Neodiprion lecontei: one gene and its partner. The protein of the gene in region 1 purifies or fractionates together with the protein of each later gene. This does not show direct contact. Links are inferred from orthologs where the notes say so. Each region holds a gene or a part of one and is shown on either strand. Other genes may lie near its edges.

Evidence for each region. The genes of interacting proteins can lie anywhere in the genome.
Region 2: the proteins of eukaryotic translation initiation factor 4E (region 1) and hematopoietically-expressed homeobox protein HHEX purify together in Homo sapiens (affinity purification with western blotting; 3 studies listed by BioGRID and IntAct, with this or other methods). This does not show direct contact. The link is inferred for Neodiprion lecontei from reciprocal best matches to the Homo sapiens genes EIF4E and HHEX.

Annotation. Positions count from the first base shown.
Region 1 is NC_060260.1:30,404,512-30,410,618, reverse strand, and holds eukaryotic translation initiation factor 4E, read left to right. Parts: upstream 1-2,758; 5' UTR 2,759-2,863; coding exon 2,864-2,893; intron 2,894-3,465; coding exon 3,466-3,644; intron 3,645-4,101; coding exon 4,102-4,419; exon of another isoform or gene 4,420-4,503; coding exon 4,504-4,618; 3' UTR 4,619-5,117; downstream 5,118-6,107. Other genes in the region: uncharacterized protein LOC107224388, read right to left, coding at 1-14, 102-603, 1,834-1,915, 2,614-2,657; uncharacterized protein LOC107224395, read right to left, coding at 5,959-6,107. UniProt on the Homo sapiens protein: Acts in the cytoplasm to initiate and regulate protein synthesis and is required in the nucleus for export of a subset of mRNAs from the nucleus to the cytoplasm which promotes processes such as RNA capping, processing and splicing.
Region 2 is NC_060265.1:21,400,666-21,409,911, reverse strand, and holds hematopoietically-expressed homeobox protein HHEX, read left to right. Parts: upstream 1-2,454; 5' UTR 2,455-2,835; coding exon 2,836-3,133; intron 3,134-7,428; exon of another isoform or gene 7,429-7,430; coding exon 7,431-7,660; intron 7,661-7,751; coding exon 7,752-7,934; 3' UTR 7,935-8,309; downstream 8,310-9,246. UniProt on the Homo sapiens protein: Recognizes the DNA sequence 5'-ATTAA-3'. Transcriptional repressor. Activator of WNT-mediated transcription in conjunction with CTNNB1.

The sequences.
Region 1 (6,107 bases):
GTTGTGAATTGCAACTGAAATATGATTGATAAAACCATTAGCTTCATGAATCGATGCAGGTACGGAGTAACGATTTCTCTGTTGGTCCAGCCCTATCGTACCTGGCAACGATGGCCCAAAATATGAAGTTTGATCAAACTGCCCCTGGAGTTGATCGTATCGAGGATTCCTTCTGTTTTTCCTATGGAAATTACTCCGTTGGTTATATATATTGTTCCGATTGTGGTTGAACCTGTCTCGCCTGACATAGTTACTTCTCAACGGCATGTCTCGTTGAAAATTATTTGGTGTCATGTCGCGAGGTGACTGCGGTGGTAGTGGTGGAGTCTGAGGCGTCATCCACTGCCATGGTGGAGGCGGATGTGACCAGGGTTGCATGGGTGTAACTTGGGAATGTACTGGTCCAAATACATGAGGTGGAGGAGGGAGCGTGCCTGGTGGGGGAGGCATAGGAGGCAAGGGTGGCTGTCCAGGTAAGGGTTGATTCAGAGCTGCCGGAGAGGGGGAGGGTACGGAGTAACTGCCATAAGTATTATCATATCCAAATGCTGCCAACTCCTGTTTTACTGCCAAACGTTTACTGTCTCCATTTTCTTCAGGTCCCTGAAAACAGTTGCATTTGAAGTTACTTTCTTCTCAGGCTTATTTAATGAACATTGCTCTTTGTAAGATGCTGAAAAGAAATTTACAGAAAGCAAATGAAAGGAATAAATTGGACATTATGTTGAACAACAATGTTATAATTGTAATCATGTAGTTAGTAATAGGAATTGAAAAGTGTACGGAAGCCGGTCTACGAATGTACCGGAATGTATTCTACAGATGCATCCCCTATGCTTCTAGTTACACAGGTCTGGTTTAAAGAACAGATTGGCACAATTTCTACATCAGATGAAAGCAATGGCAGCAAAAACAAGACTGGCTAAATGTTATGAAAAATATGAGAAATAACAGTGCGATAATTCTTCAGAAGAACAGAGGACCATAATATATTTGGTTTTTTAGCCCTCTGAGGGCAACCATTTTCAGGGGTCCCTTGTTTAGGCAACCCTGTGTTAAGCAGAATTGGTTTTGTTTATAAAAACGGTTTAAATTCATATTTTTCAGCTTGTAAATAGTGAAATGAAATCGTTAGAATGTCTAGCGTACGATGGTAGAGGAACGAATTCGATATGTTTACTTTAGATGACGTAGTAAGATTTAATACAAAATGAGATATAAGGAATTGGCAAAAATAAATGGGTAATGATCCAGGTTGCCTCCAGAGGGTCAATCAGCCCTGTATCACTTGAAGTCAACAAAATACAGTCCAAATGCTAACCTTGCAGAATATTTTTTGTAAAGCCTAGTTCAGATGATCATATGTACATCTTTGCTTCGACAATTACCTTGAAGTGGGAACAAATTATAAGGAACAAAATAAAACAAAGATAAAATGTTAATCCAACAAATGGTAGAGTAAGTTCAATAAATTTTCTAAAGCTAAATTATTGAAATGGTTTTTGAGCAATTCCTTAATCATATGTTTGATTTTTTGTCTCATTTTACAGTAAAAGTGAAAGTAATGCGTGAAAGCTGCATTAGACAAGTAATGAAATACTGCACAAAATACAAGCTTTATAATACATATCACTGCATACTTTACACACAAGAAGTGTGTAACTTTGATAATGTTTCTAGCATTCGTACAGTATTGGTTAATGTTAGTGACAACTTGGCAGAAGAAAATTGTGAATTAGAAACGATGTAATGTAAACTGGGAAGAATTATCGAAATAAAAACAGGAGCGTTTGTTATCGTTCAAGCAGCTTAATTGTTATGTGGTTTGTTTACATTTTCTGGTTGGCTGTTTGGATATATCAAGTGAGGATGTTCTTTTTGATGTCCAGTCTTACTCCGTTGATTTGTAGTCTTTCTATTAAACATAATATGATCATCCGAACCTGCTTAAAAAGAGATAATATCGAAAAATAGGTCAATTTTGATGTAACTTCAGGAACAAGCCTAGAAGCTGAGAGTAGTTTTATGACCTTTGTGGCAAAATTGTACGGTGGATTAAAACGTGCAATAGCTGTTTACATTACAAAAATTTGACAAGAAAATTAATCACGACAAATTTAGAGGCATGTTTCATTCAAAAAAATGTCTAAAGACTAATTACACTGTCTTTACCAACCAACGAGCTAACCCCAAATTACAACACGCCTACAAACCATCGATTTTCTAACACGAGATTCAAGAAGAATTGAGGAAAGGGATCCATAGAATAATAACATCGAATATTCACCGCATGCTTCATATTGATCACGATTTCACGGTTCACTGTTTACATGGAATATGTGAGTTGCAAAAAAAAAATAAATATGTTCACTACAAATCACGCGAAATTAGTAGCGTTCCGTGTGGTTGCTGCGAGTTTCACGCTCGCAGAGATGTCGCTGCGGACGAGGTTTTGCGTAGGTGAAAAAAAAAAAAAAAGAAAGACATATAAATAGGGGAAAACAAAAAATACGCCGTCTTTCAATTACAAAACAAAGTTCGTAATTTTCGTGATTATAAAAATAATCAGTGTATTATTGAAAATTTCTCGCTTCATGAAGTAATTACATCTACCTCTGGAAAAGATCCACAAAAAAAATCTGAAGGAACTCAATCATCACGATCGCCGAGGCATCTCTATTTCTTTCTTGTCTGTGTTTGGTCTGTGTCACTGCGTGTTGGTCTTCCCGTTTGCCTCTGCACCGGCTAGCTCGTTTTTCGAAACAATTCCTCGCCGAGCCCGAGTGACTAGTTACGCAAACTCTTACCGACAGATGCCCTTAGTTGTCATTTGCTGAAAATCCTGGCGGTCGACTCCTGTGACATGGCTGCAAATAATTCGGCAGAAATCGAGGTATACTTGTAAAATTTCGTTGAATTATCGTATTTTCTTAACCGAAACTTAACTCGCTTTCCAACGAATATCATTAGTCCGGTATTTTAACCAAAAAAGGTCCGGTTTCACGCATCAGCATGGTTGCTTCCTCGTGCTCCCCGCCGCCACCCTGACCCTCGTCCTTTTGCTGATAGGCATAACCTACTACTATCGCTTCGTTAGATCATTCATTTCTCTGCGTTAACCAATTCTCTTTCTCGTCTTACCGTAAAACGAATTAAAATGATACCAATCATTTTTGTTCGTTCTCCTTGTGTAGATTTCTCGACAACTATTCATTTCAATTCGCGCGATAGTTGATGGTACTTATCATTCATCACTCACGCTTTGGACAACTTCACTCCATACAAAATCTATCAAAGTACTCGTGGTTTCACACGTTCAGAGCTCCGTTCGCTTGAATATGCGGAAATCGCAGTGGTATATGTAGTTTGAATTTACATTTAATTATGTTTGCAGAGTCTGTAGAAAATATTTACCGGCAGTATATGAATGTTGTACAGTAAGCAGAGGTGTATTTATCATTGCAGGATACAGAGAAGAAGGACCAAGAAGTAGCAAATTTGGAAGAATTTCCACCAGAGCTTCTTATCAAGCATCCGTTGCAAAATACTTGGACACTTTGGTACTATGAGAATGATCGCAGTAAGACATGGGAACAAAATCAGCGTGAAATCACAAGTTTCGACACAGCAGAAGATTTTTGGAGGTATTTTTTATAGAAATTTAGTTTTGACGGTCCTTCCACTTTAATATTCCTTCTATCATTTTTGCAAAGTTGAAAAATTACCCTGAATCATTTGTTTAAAAAGTTAAACTCTCAATTAATCAATCAGTAGTACCAAATTCATGTACTGTCAAGTTTTCGTTAAAATTTTTCAATTCCAAAGTAGTATTTACTTCATGAGTAAAGAGAATGGAATGTATATCGCTTTGCTCTCTATGCTTAAATGATGTCAAGTTAGTTTTACGTGCTATACTTTCACATGGTCGTGATCCACTTTCTTCACATTGTATTACATCGAAACATTTACACTTGACCATCCTGTTTTTGAAAAAGTTAACAGTCTCAAGTATCCTGCATATTTCAGCTGTATTATCAAATGTTTTATTTAGTTTCTACCTGTATATTTACACTTCATCTTATGATTAAATTCTTTTTCTAGCTTGTACAATCACATAAAGTTGGCCTCAGAGCTGCGGCAAGGCTGTGACTACAGTATGTTCAAGCAGGGTATTCGGCCAATGTGGGAAGATGATGCAAATAAAAAAGGAGGCAGGTGGCTCATTAGCTTGGACAAAAAGCAAAGAGGAAGTGATTTAGACCGTTTTTGGCTTGAAGTTCTTCTCTGTATGATTGGTGAAGCATTTAACGAGTTCTCTGATGATGTATGTGGAGCTGTGGTCAACGTAAGACCAAAAGGTGACAAAATTGGTGTATGGACAGCAGATGCAAACAGGGGTCAAAGCGTATTGGAAATCGGGTAAGATATTTTTCTAATTAAACCAGAATTGGAAACTGCAGTTTTCCTTAATGTGCCGTATAACCTTTAATATTCTTATTGCAGGCGCAAACTAAAGGAAAGACTGCGGATTGCACCAAGGGTGCAAATAGGCTACCAAATTCATAAGGACACCATGGCTAAAGCAGGAAGCGTCACGAAGAACACTTATTCGGTTTAACCACAGCCCTTTTCTATTATTATTATACATCATCCTCATATTTCCTGACCCCAACCATTCGAATAACAAATAATTGCAGAGCAAATTATCTAATAGATATATTTATGGATCATCTGAATTCAACTGTCTGTATTCAGGAGAGGAATATACACATGTACAGAACTAGTGAATGGCTGAGCAAAGAAATAAGCAGTCCCTTCCCCTATTGCGCCCTCCAAAAATTATGTTGACGTAATCATGTTTCCTCTCATAATACGCGACTGAGTGATGGTTAATAAATGAGTTATTATATAACTAAATGCAAGATTTGTTAGTATAAAATTTTACATTGATATATATAACTTGTTCTCACAGTTATTCACCCAGAGGACATTAGCGCAGGCTGCTGTATTTTTTTTCCCTATATATATAATTTTTCTTTTATAAGAATATGTGAAAGAATCTGTACACAAAGGTATAGTCAAGTCATATGTGGAATAAAGTTATTCTTTTCTCACAATCCTTTGTTATATACCCTCCCTGATGTATAATAGGATTCGTGAAATAATTATCTAATTACTACCTAAAATTAGTGGTTTAGAAATGTTCGAATCAAAAGAATTTAACAGGAATCTTCCACTCAGAACTGAAATACATAAATAACCGAAATGCAGCAGCCAGCAAAAGCAAAATAATTTCTCAGTCCATTACTAGTTTAGTTGCATTTTCACTTCCATTTATACTATACGAATCTGCTTGAAACTGGTAACGATAGAGAATATATCTTTATTTTTCAGTGACCTATTATGTTATGAAAATTGTCAGCGTATGTAATACAGCATGCCAATTATAAATGTTGCCTTGTCAATTTATTTACTGTTTACTTCCCTGTTAAAACTGTTACATTATACTTCATTTTCTGTTACCTGCTTCTGAATTTGTCACTATGCGAATATACTATGTATTCGGACGTGAAACTAAAAATATACGCAGATAAATATTCAACAATTTGTTGATAATAAACGTGTGAAAAAAAAAAGCACAGTCCGGATTTACATTATTACGTAGACGTAAATGTACACATATTATCGTAATATATCCTCAGTAGTCCAAATATTCGTTTGTACCATACTTACATACGCCAACATTACATATCAAGATAAAAACAAAAATATCGAGCACACGGTTTTAAACATAGCTATTATTACAATGCCCATATGGATCAGAAAAATATTATTTACAGCGTGAAAAATTTCGCTCATCGGAATCTTTTTGTGTTTGAAAGAAGTATTATGCTGAAACTATACGCAGCTTAATACAGAAGAAACACACGTACAACTGCTCTGTCTCTACGTTGTTCACTATTTCCGAGTTAGTAGATCGTCGACCAGGTTTCTGAGATCCTTACGTCTTGCCTTTTCTAACGCATTCTTCAAGTTGATCGACCAGCAACGCAAATCACTTTTAGCAGCAAATATTTTCAATGCTGCGAAGGCCTTTTCTTTAGAAT
Region 2 (9,246 bases), on another chromosome or scaffold:
GTCAAAACCGCATAGGAAACGGTGATTGCGGCTTCTAAACATGATAACTTTTTTGTTCTCGGCATATCCAGCAGTTTTTTTTCCTCGGCCAAATTGGCGTAATATTAATTAAGTAATTAGCAAATGTTATTTTAAGCGACGACCACGTATACGGTTAAATATCAGATACCGTCCATCCTGAATCGAGGCTAATCAAGTCCTGCAGAACCCTGCTATGAACAATTTATAAGCATATTTGGCAAAACTGCCTTGGATAGAAAACAATTGTAAGTAATATACGAGTGAATAGAGGCCCGAGTGAGTCTATTTCGCAAGCTGCGGCATGTCGTTTTATAAGCTTTATCGTCGGAAATTAAATGGTAACTGAAATATTTTTTCTATGAATTTCTTTCAAGTGAAATAGTGCTTAAGTCCTGCTGAATATTGTACAACAACGACCATGTCAACAGTGCTCTTGTTGATTTTGTGCCGGTGTTTGAATTTAGCTAAACAATATTCGTCACATACTTGAAAAAAATTTGCTCGAAACCAAAGTATATCATTTTTGTGACATATGATTAAAAAAATGAACCTCTACATTTTCCGGAGCTCATTTTCAGCAATCGGAAATTGTCGAGTGAATTCAGGTAAAATAATTTTCAGCTACTGACCAGCGTGTTTTCATGATAAAACACCGCGAGTAAAACGATCCTGATATTCGAAGTTCTTGGATTCGGCAAAACGAATTATGGAAATCGTTCGTGTGCTTATACTTGTATTTTTGCCACGATGTGCGTGAGTATGGCTCGTTCTTGAGCATAGGATCGAGAGTGAAACGCGCAAGGATCGCGATCGCCAAGGCAGAATCTAGTTATAAATAATACAAGGAATCAGTGCAATCTAGAAGAATCCTGGGCTGTAAAAATATGTCCGATAACCGGGTCGTTCTGGTCGTTAAATTTTGGAGGCGGTTGTCCCCTATTTGCCAAAGAATGATTTACTGTTCTTCGATATTGTATCGCAGTATAGCTTGAATGATGTATGGATCGGTAAATACCTTTAATCCGGTGCCTCAATGGCGCGTAGAAATTCACGCTGTTCAGATACTTTTTTCGAGAGTACGTTATTACATATATTACATATACGAAACTATCTTCTAGTATCGTGACGCAGTAGCGTTGTACAAACAGATGTGAGCTCGATATCGCATTTATAAACCACCGATTTTTTACCGTACGGTTCAACGAGTGTGTAATAATCTTAATGAGTAAATTCGATTTATTTTACAATTGGATTATATGTGGAGAAAACGGAAAATCGCTGTACGATATTCTACGTATACCCGCATATGGATAATATTTGTTTGCTTGCCGAATACCATTATGGTTAACAGAAAAATAAAAAAAAAATAAAACGACCGACAATCATTTTCCCGTTGAGGTCATCCTTCCGCTCCACTTCCTATTTTCGCCAAGTCATTGAAACGGTACACGCACCGATTGTCTTCCTTAGTTTTCATTGTAAAAAATATAATATTCCTTGTAATGAAATTTAATATATAGATTTTGTATTGCGGTACAGACGATAGTAAAATATCATCAATTAGATTTCGTTGTCACTTCGGGCAGAAGCTTAGGCCCACTAAGCCTATAATACACGCAAACTTTTTCGAACAGCGTAAGTATAATTATATTAATAAATATTATTCTTGTTGTCAGTGAATTATCGCACGTTTTTAAAACCAGAAACCTCGTCTGACTCCGTTTTGTTACGTGATTAATTGCCTCGCTGCTGCGGCAGAAGCACCAATAAATGGTATTAATTTTCTATCAGCATTCGCCACATGTGCAGTATCAAGTTTAACTAGGCATCGATTACGATTGACTAATTTAACAATAAAGCCTGGACTCTGTTCACCGACCCGATGTTTACGAATACATGTAATTACCCTCACAGACCTCGAGTTCGTTACTTCGTCAACAATATCGCACAAATATCCTGAGCATAACAAAATTCCGAATTCTCGGATAATCAGAGCTTCGAAATAGATAAATTTTGCATAATTTGAACGATGTACGAGTTATAACGACAAATTCGCATTGGCATCAGTCGTACCATTTAAAATTATTAACGAATCTTTCTTTCCGAACTGTTGATCGAATAATGACTTTAAACCCGTTGAAAATACGCAATTCGAGAAAATTCCAAAAATCCTTGTCCCCTCGCAGGAGGATTAGATTTGTCTCTTGGGTCCATGAAGGAGAGAGGAAGCAGATCGCGTGGCACCAGTGGGCAGGCTGGAAGCTACCGGCCCCGGAGAAGGGGTCCTATCTTCCTTATCACTGCTATTGCTGTCCAATGGCGGAGTGAGGAAGTAATCGTGGTGATAAGGGCGGCGTGTTCTGTCGACAGTACGCGATCTTTCCTGAGGTCCCTGACTGCCAGTCACGTCTGACACCGAGGACAAGTAACGCCACGGAGTGGCGATCGCGGTCACAGCCGAGTTTTTCCCAGTTCTGTGCTTATTTTTAGGTCCTATTCGGCAGTCGACACTCAATTACCCACAAGTCACTGTTGAAGGAGTCCGATTAACAGATCCTTGGACTCAGTCATTGGCGGAAGTTGGATGCAGGACACTCGGCCTTCGCTCCGAAGAGTCCGTCAATAGAGAGTTGGAGGAGGATTTGAGGACAAGACGCGATTCGAATTGACCAGTAACCCTTCAACATGATCGTCAGGAAATAGCAATCAGCGTTTTTTGTTTTTTTTTTGAACGAAAAGAAAGTAACAATCGTACCCAAGCCGCAGAGGTACGCAACTAGAGCTTCGAGAGGTGATCCAATTCCTCGTGTGGAAATGACAGCGACGATGTGCAAGACGACGAGGTCGTTCCGCATCGACGATCTCCTCCATCCGGAACGTGGATCCTCCATTCGAGACAGCGCCGTCTCGTCCAGGGAGGGTGAGAGGTCCTCCTGCAGCTCTCCGACGTCACCCGAGACCCCCATGACACCCTCAACACCACCGCGTACACCCACCATCCCGTTTCCCATGCATCTCCAAGCACACTGGCCTGCGAGACCAACTCCCGTTTACGCACCGCATATGGACGATCGGCGACTATGTCTTCCCTACGACCTTCATCCCTTCAGAGGTGAGTTATCCAGTCGTCCCTTCAGAGGTGAGCCAATGTCCCGGAGCAAAAATACTGGCTCGTTTTTAGCTTCTTCGAACATACTAAAATCCTGTTTACTGAAATGAGCCTCAAAGAGATAACGAACGATTGATGTGCTTTTGGTGTACATCCAAATCAGGATCATCGGGGACCTGATGCATGCATATCGCGTGTTTTCGCAATTCATGCGACATATGTCATTGCCAGCTCGATAAAGTACTGTTACCATGGGCAGCTTGGTCGGTTGATAAACGATAATATTGCGCCTTTGAGGATAATACTTAATTAAGAACGTCGATGTTCTTACAGGATGCGGCTACTGACCATGCAGTGGGCTTTATATACGCACACAATTACGCTTGTACTCGCATTCGTATTTCATATTCAAACTAATAGCTGTTCAGTGAACGCGAATTAACAATTTATAACGTGTACTTAGACACATCCTTTAGCTCTTTACAATGCCCACAGTAAATTGCATAACGGGATTCCCGCAAAGATATTGTCTGCGGAATTTTATTTACGTATTACATGAGTAACAGGATACCTATGGTGCAAAACCAGTGCATGAACGTATTTCCCACTTTGTCTTTCGTGGTAATATAATTGATAGTGACTAAAGAAGTTGGAATATTATCAAGATTTATTCTTTGGGAATATGAATCATAATTTAGCGCGACGTAATAGAGAATTCAGTAACGACAAAATTTACTCTTCCAAAATCCGATCAGACTTCCCGCGGTATTACAGAATTGCAACACATGACTCGATGACAATTTTACAGTATGACTCCCATCTCCGATTGCTTAACATCCTTCGGAGACCGCAAAATAACCACCGTCCCGCTTGTTCGAAAGCACTTACAACTGCGATACAATCTGTCGCTGTCGGCGAGAAGAAATCTACAAAAATCAACCCCAAGAATCATTCGTGGTCAAAGAAATCGAGTATCAGCCACTTCCCGTTTCCGTTTACAGCCGTGATTCTCAGAGGCTGGAGAGATGATATACGTAACGTAGGTACAAGTACAGTCGAAGTGCAAACGTAGTTGATTTTTTCAAAATTTGGGATGAGGTAAAATCAATTTTGATAATCGGTGAAAAACTTGGGTACCGTACGCCTTTCAGCCCGCCTTCGAGCCGAATAGTTTATCATTCGTGCAGCCCGGGAGTTAACACGATATGTTTATCTTCAGGGACTTCCTTCCTGTACTTACTTTCCGTGCCTCCGCTGTATCTCGCTGAAAACGGCTGAATATAAAGCAACATTCCTGACAACTACCCACGTCTGACAAGTTATCGGTGAAATTTTCTCAAGTAGCAATTACATCCGGGAACAATCAGTAATTAAAGAGAGCTAACAATTCGTTAGAGCATGATGGACAGCTTGTTCTTTTTAGTAGGATATATTACAAAATGTTCAAAATCAGGTTGTTTAGCCGAGGAGATCATAATTGAGCAAATCGAGCGCAACAAAACGACAAATAATTTAATTAGTTAATCAATCATATAGCTCTGGAAAGGGTAATTAAGATTAAGCGGCGTTTAATGCGGTGAATTATAGATTACGTCAAGTAGTTGGTTATTAATTACTTAATTACTCAACGATTAAAGTCATGTGAAAGAATTTCGAAGCACGTGCTTATTCAACATCCAATTTTAGTCAGCGCACGTTTGTTGATATTAAATAAATTGTCATTCACGATGATGCACTGTGTAACACAGAAAGATTAAGATCTACCAAGGTCAGAATTTATCTAATTTTCAAATGCCGTACAACGATACTGTCAAAAAGAGATTCCAGGCACCTTTTCATTTCTACATATATACACGAGTATTATGTATACGTATACCGTATATAAGCTTAATCGGTGCCCGTATATGTATATGCATACGGTAAACAACCTGGAAAAGGCACAAACTCTGATCGCGCGGACTATCTCGAAAAGTTTATTTTCCAAACTTAATACGTCAAACAATCCCTATCTATCACAAATATACATATCAATTAAACGCTCTTCGGCAAAGGGTGCAACAGCCGTTCTCAAACATGCTGAAAACCGTTCAGACCGATCGATTCGTAGTTCCGGTACTAGATTTAATTGGCAAAAATTTACATTGTTTATGAAAAAAAGTAGCGTCACTATCGTTCACTCCGTTAATTATCAATCATTGTAAAGGGCAGCAATTATCGCATTCAGTTAGTCATTTAAAGACAGCCGCAATAAAGATAGGAAATATAATATCGCGCACCAACAATATTTTATTGAATACCAATTGCTGGTTTTCCGCCAGTGATGCAATATCTGGCTTAATAAATCGATTAATCAAAAATCTACGACATCTTTTGATAACTAAGCTTTCGCGGTAAGCGCTTTTATCGTGACAACCCGGCTAATAGCTCTGGAATAATATGTCAATCCGTCCGCACGTTCAATCGGTTCTCTCTATCGTGTCGTGCGTGTGTACAGCCTATCTGACAAAAACACCGAAACGTCTATCCTTACCGCATACCAGTGTGCGTCAGCTGGATGGACAAGCCGCTAATCTTGTATAATGTATCATTACGGACTATTTTTAAGTTATAATTTTACATACTTCCATTGTAATTACTGTAATAACAGTATCGCGCAATAAAACTCACGACAATCGAATACTTTTCGAAAATAATACATCTGATACTACCTGCCATTAATCGCGCCCTAATTCCACCGCAAATCTCAAATTATTATTCACACCCGATTGTGTTCATCGGTTACTGCGCGCAATCGTGTTTACCTAATTTATGACAAATGTTCAATGACTTGTAAATTAATTCGTGTGAATCACATCGTTTGCGAAATCGTCGGAGACGTTAACGTAATACTTGGTCATATACCGTCAAGATACATATATATAAGGATACGGTCGAAGATCTCGTTCTCCGCATTACACACTAATCAGTATTTCCTTGATTTTCAAATCGATCACTGATTACCGGTATATTTGGCACTTGGCATCTGATATTTATTACAGGCAGTATCGTTGACACATTCGATACCCTACCGTAGTATCATGTAATTGTCTACGCGTGAAAACTCACGTGCTCCATAATGATCGCGACTCCCTGAAATTGCAGGGTCGCCGTTTTGACTTGAAAGAAATATGGCGAACGGACTTGACCGAGCTATGTTGTAGCGTAGAAAATATTGCGCAATCATTCGTCGAGGCATGAAAACCGAGGAAAACCTGCAGAAGAGCACCTAATTTCTCGTCAATATTAGGTCGATCCGTTTTTCCCCGCAGTCTGTTCTCGATCAAGGATCTAAAACCGTTACATCAAACGCCCATCCGCCCCGGCTACTTCATCGAGGATCACGATTACGTCCGATATACACGCGTAGTTGAACCGATGCAGTAATACTAGTACCTAAAAGATACACGATAGTTACTGTGTACCATCGCGGTGCTACCGGTATTATACGAAAGGGAACGAGTCGTCTATTTGTCGGCGGTCAACACGGTTATCAGTAATGTATTTGATTGTCTGATGAATGTTCCGAGGCGCCAAAAAGAGATTATAATGCTATTGATCATTAATGCCACCGTGCGGGATAAGTGGGCGCAACCCACACCCGCAACTCTCCTCATCCTTGCGGCCTGCAAGTCTCTGCACGTATGTACAATGTACACACAAGCCCCCGCGATATACGCATGTGGATGAGCAAGGTGCACCGATCGGCTCGTACTACTATCAGTTTGGGCACTGACTGATGCCCGAGCCTTGGGCCCGCGCCGCTACCGAAACCCACCAAGGATTACCCCGACAAAATAATATCGATCAATCGTGCCAGAGTATTACCGAATCCCCTGCATACGCCCGGCCTTCCCCCGACTCTAATATCTCTACTGTCATTCCGTATTGTTCAACGATCGGCCATTGTACCACATTTTTTTATCTCTTCTTAAATCGCGACATATCACGGAATAGGCCTGCTAAATTTTCGTCACAACTGTGTATAATAAGATGAATTGGTGCAGCTACGCACCCGGTTGTTTCAGTGATGTGCCCCATAGGGGCCCCTAATCATAGGCTAATCAGGGTACAAATCCACTCTGAGCAGCTCCGAGTTTTAGCCGCGTGATAACAAAAGAGCAGCGGACGAAATGTACCCTGATTTACCTAAAATCGGAAGTCCCCGTGGGACGCTTCGCCGAAATAACCCGGTGCAGTGTGTAGCATTTGGCGCATCCCGATTTCAGAGGGCATTATAGCTTACTTTTTTCTTTACTTACAGCGGTTCCACCAACCAGATTCTGGCCGCTCTATTCGCCCTACCAGATCCCTTTGCAGCACAATATACTGGCACGACTGTCGGCCGCCCATCACAGCAAACGCAAAGGAGGTCAGGTCCGCTTTACACCACAGCAAACTGCGGGCCTTGAACGGAGATTTGGTTCCCACAAATACCTCAGCCCTGAGGACCGCAGGCATCTTGCTGCGCAGTTGAAACTCACCGATCGTCAGGTAAGGAACGATGCTATCGGCATTAAATTTGATGTTATGCCTCGTCACTGCAAGCTTATCCTCAGCATTTGACTTCCGTTCTGTAAAACAGGTGAAGACATGGTTCCAAAATCGAAGAGCAAAATGGAGACGCGCCAATCCAACGGCGGCAAACGGTGAAGGTGGAGAAGGCTCGGGAAATTCGCTTAAAAATGGTACGAGCGGAGAGGCTAACGAGGAGCTGGATGAGCCTTACGACAGCGACTGCGAAAGTCCGATTTCGGTTACCGACTAGACGAACGTTGGAGAGCCAATTTAGATGCCACGATATCTCCGTTGAGAATGAGACACGAGATACGAAGGCGTACTGATCACACTCACCCGAAACAGACTAATCCATGTATAAATATTCCCACCCCTAGGCGAAGTCAGACGTACGCTCAACGTTTCGGAAAGCTGCGAATATCGAGATTCGAACTATTGAAAAGTCTCGACGCAGGTGGATAGATACTTCTACCCAAGTTTGGTATTAACGATGTATCTTTATGCAGTCCCACATTTAAGAAACCGTGACGAGTCGATCGGGTGATCGATCACGGCTGGTCAACTTTGTGCCAGAAATTATAATCGTGCAGTTTTGTTTATTTGCACTTTATACTTACAATTTGATATCGGATTACTATCGTCTTGTTAAACGGTCACTTGATCTCCCGACCCAACGGGATTCCACTTGGGCCTTCAACAAAGGAAAATGTATAAATCGGTGAGATTTCGTATTGGACATTGAAGGAGAAAGAAAGGCTTCGGAACTATCGAATACGAACAAAGTTTGTGTATAGTTTGTATTATAATGTACAGTGAAATTTGAAAACAAACGACCCATGAATTGAATATTTTATATATACGTGTAATCAGCTCATCAGACCAGCATGTTTTATATTAAAATATGTAAATATGGGATGATTGAGTTTGCATTTAAGATATATTTATTAAATCATTACGTTATACCATGTATATAACTGCTTGTATATTGTCATTTTTTTTTTAGTTGATAAGGAAGTACTGCACATATTCAATAGTATTAATATCCCCTGTTTACACTAAAAATATAATAATAATATAATAACATCGAAATGGATTTTGTGAAATAATAAATTTATGCGAAACATGCATCATATATTATATATATCGCTGATAAGAATATCCCTCAAGTACGGCTGACGATAATTCTGGACAAATAAAGCTTTCCTCAATAACTTGAACCTGAAAATAAAAATTATGCCGATGAAGTGAGTGTTCATTCTAAACTATAGCTTGGATAGGTTTACCCTTTGGTCCTGACTGTCCGCAGCGAAGTCGATACAGGAAAAGTACGAAATTCCAAAAAACACATATGAAATATACTTACTTATTTCCTGAAACAATCACTGCGGAAAAAAAATTCACCTCAACTTTCGCTCGCCAGCTTGCGACAAAAATAGTTTCTTTAATTTCCATCGATGTGGCGCCAGATTACAAACTGCGTAAAGATCTTGAATGATATGCAATTAAAATTGTTGGCTGATCCAGGGGATGCGTATAACAAAGCGTGTAACTCCACCAAATCG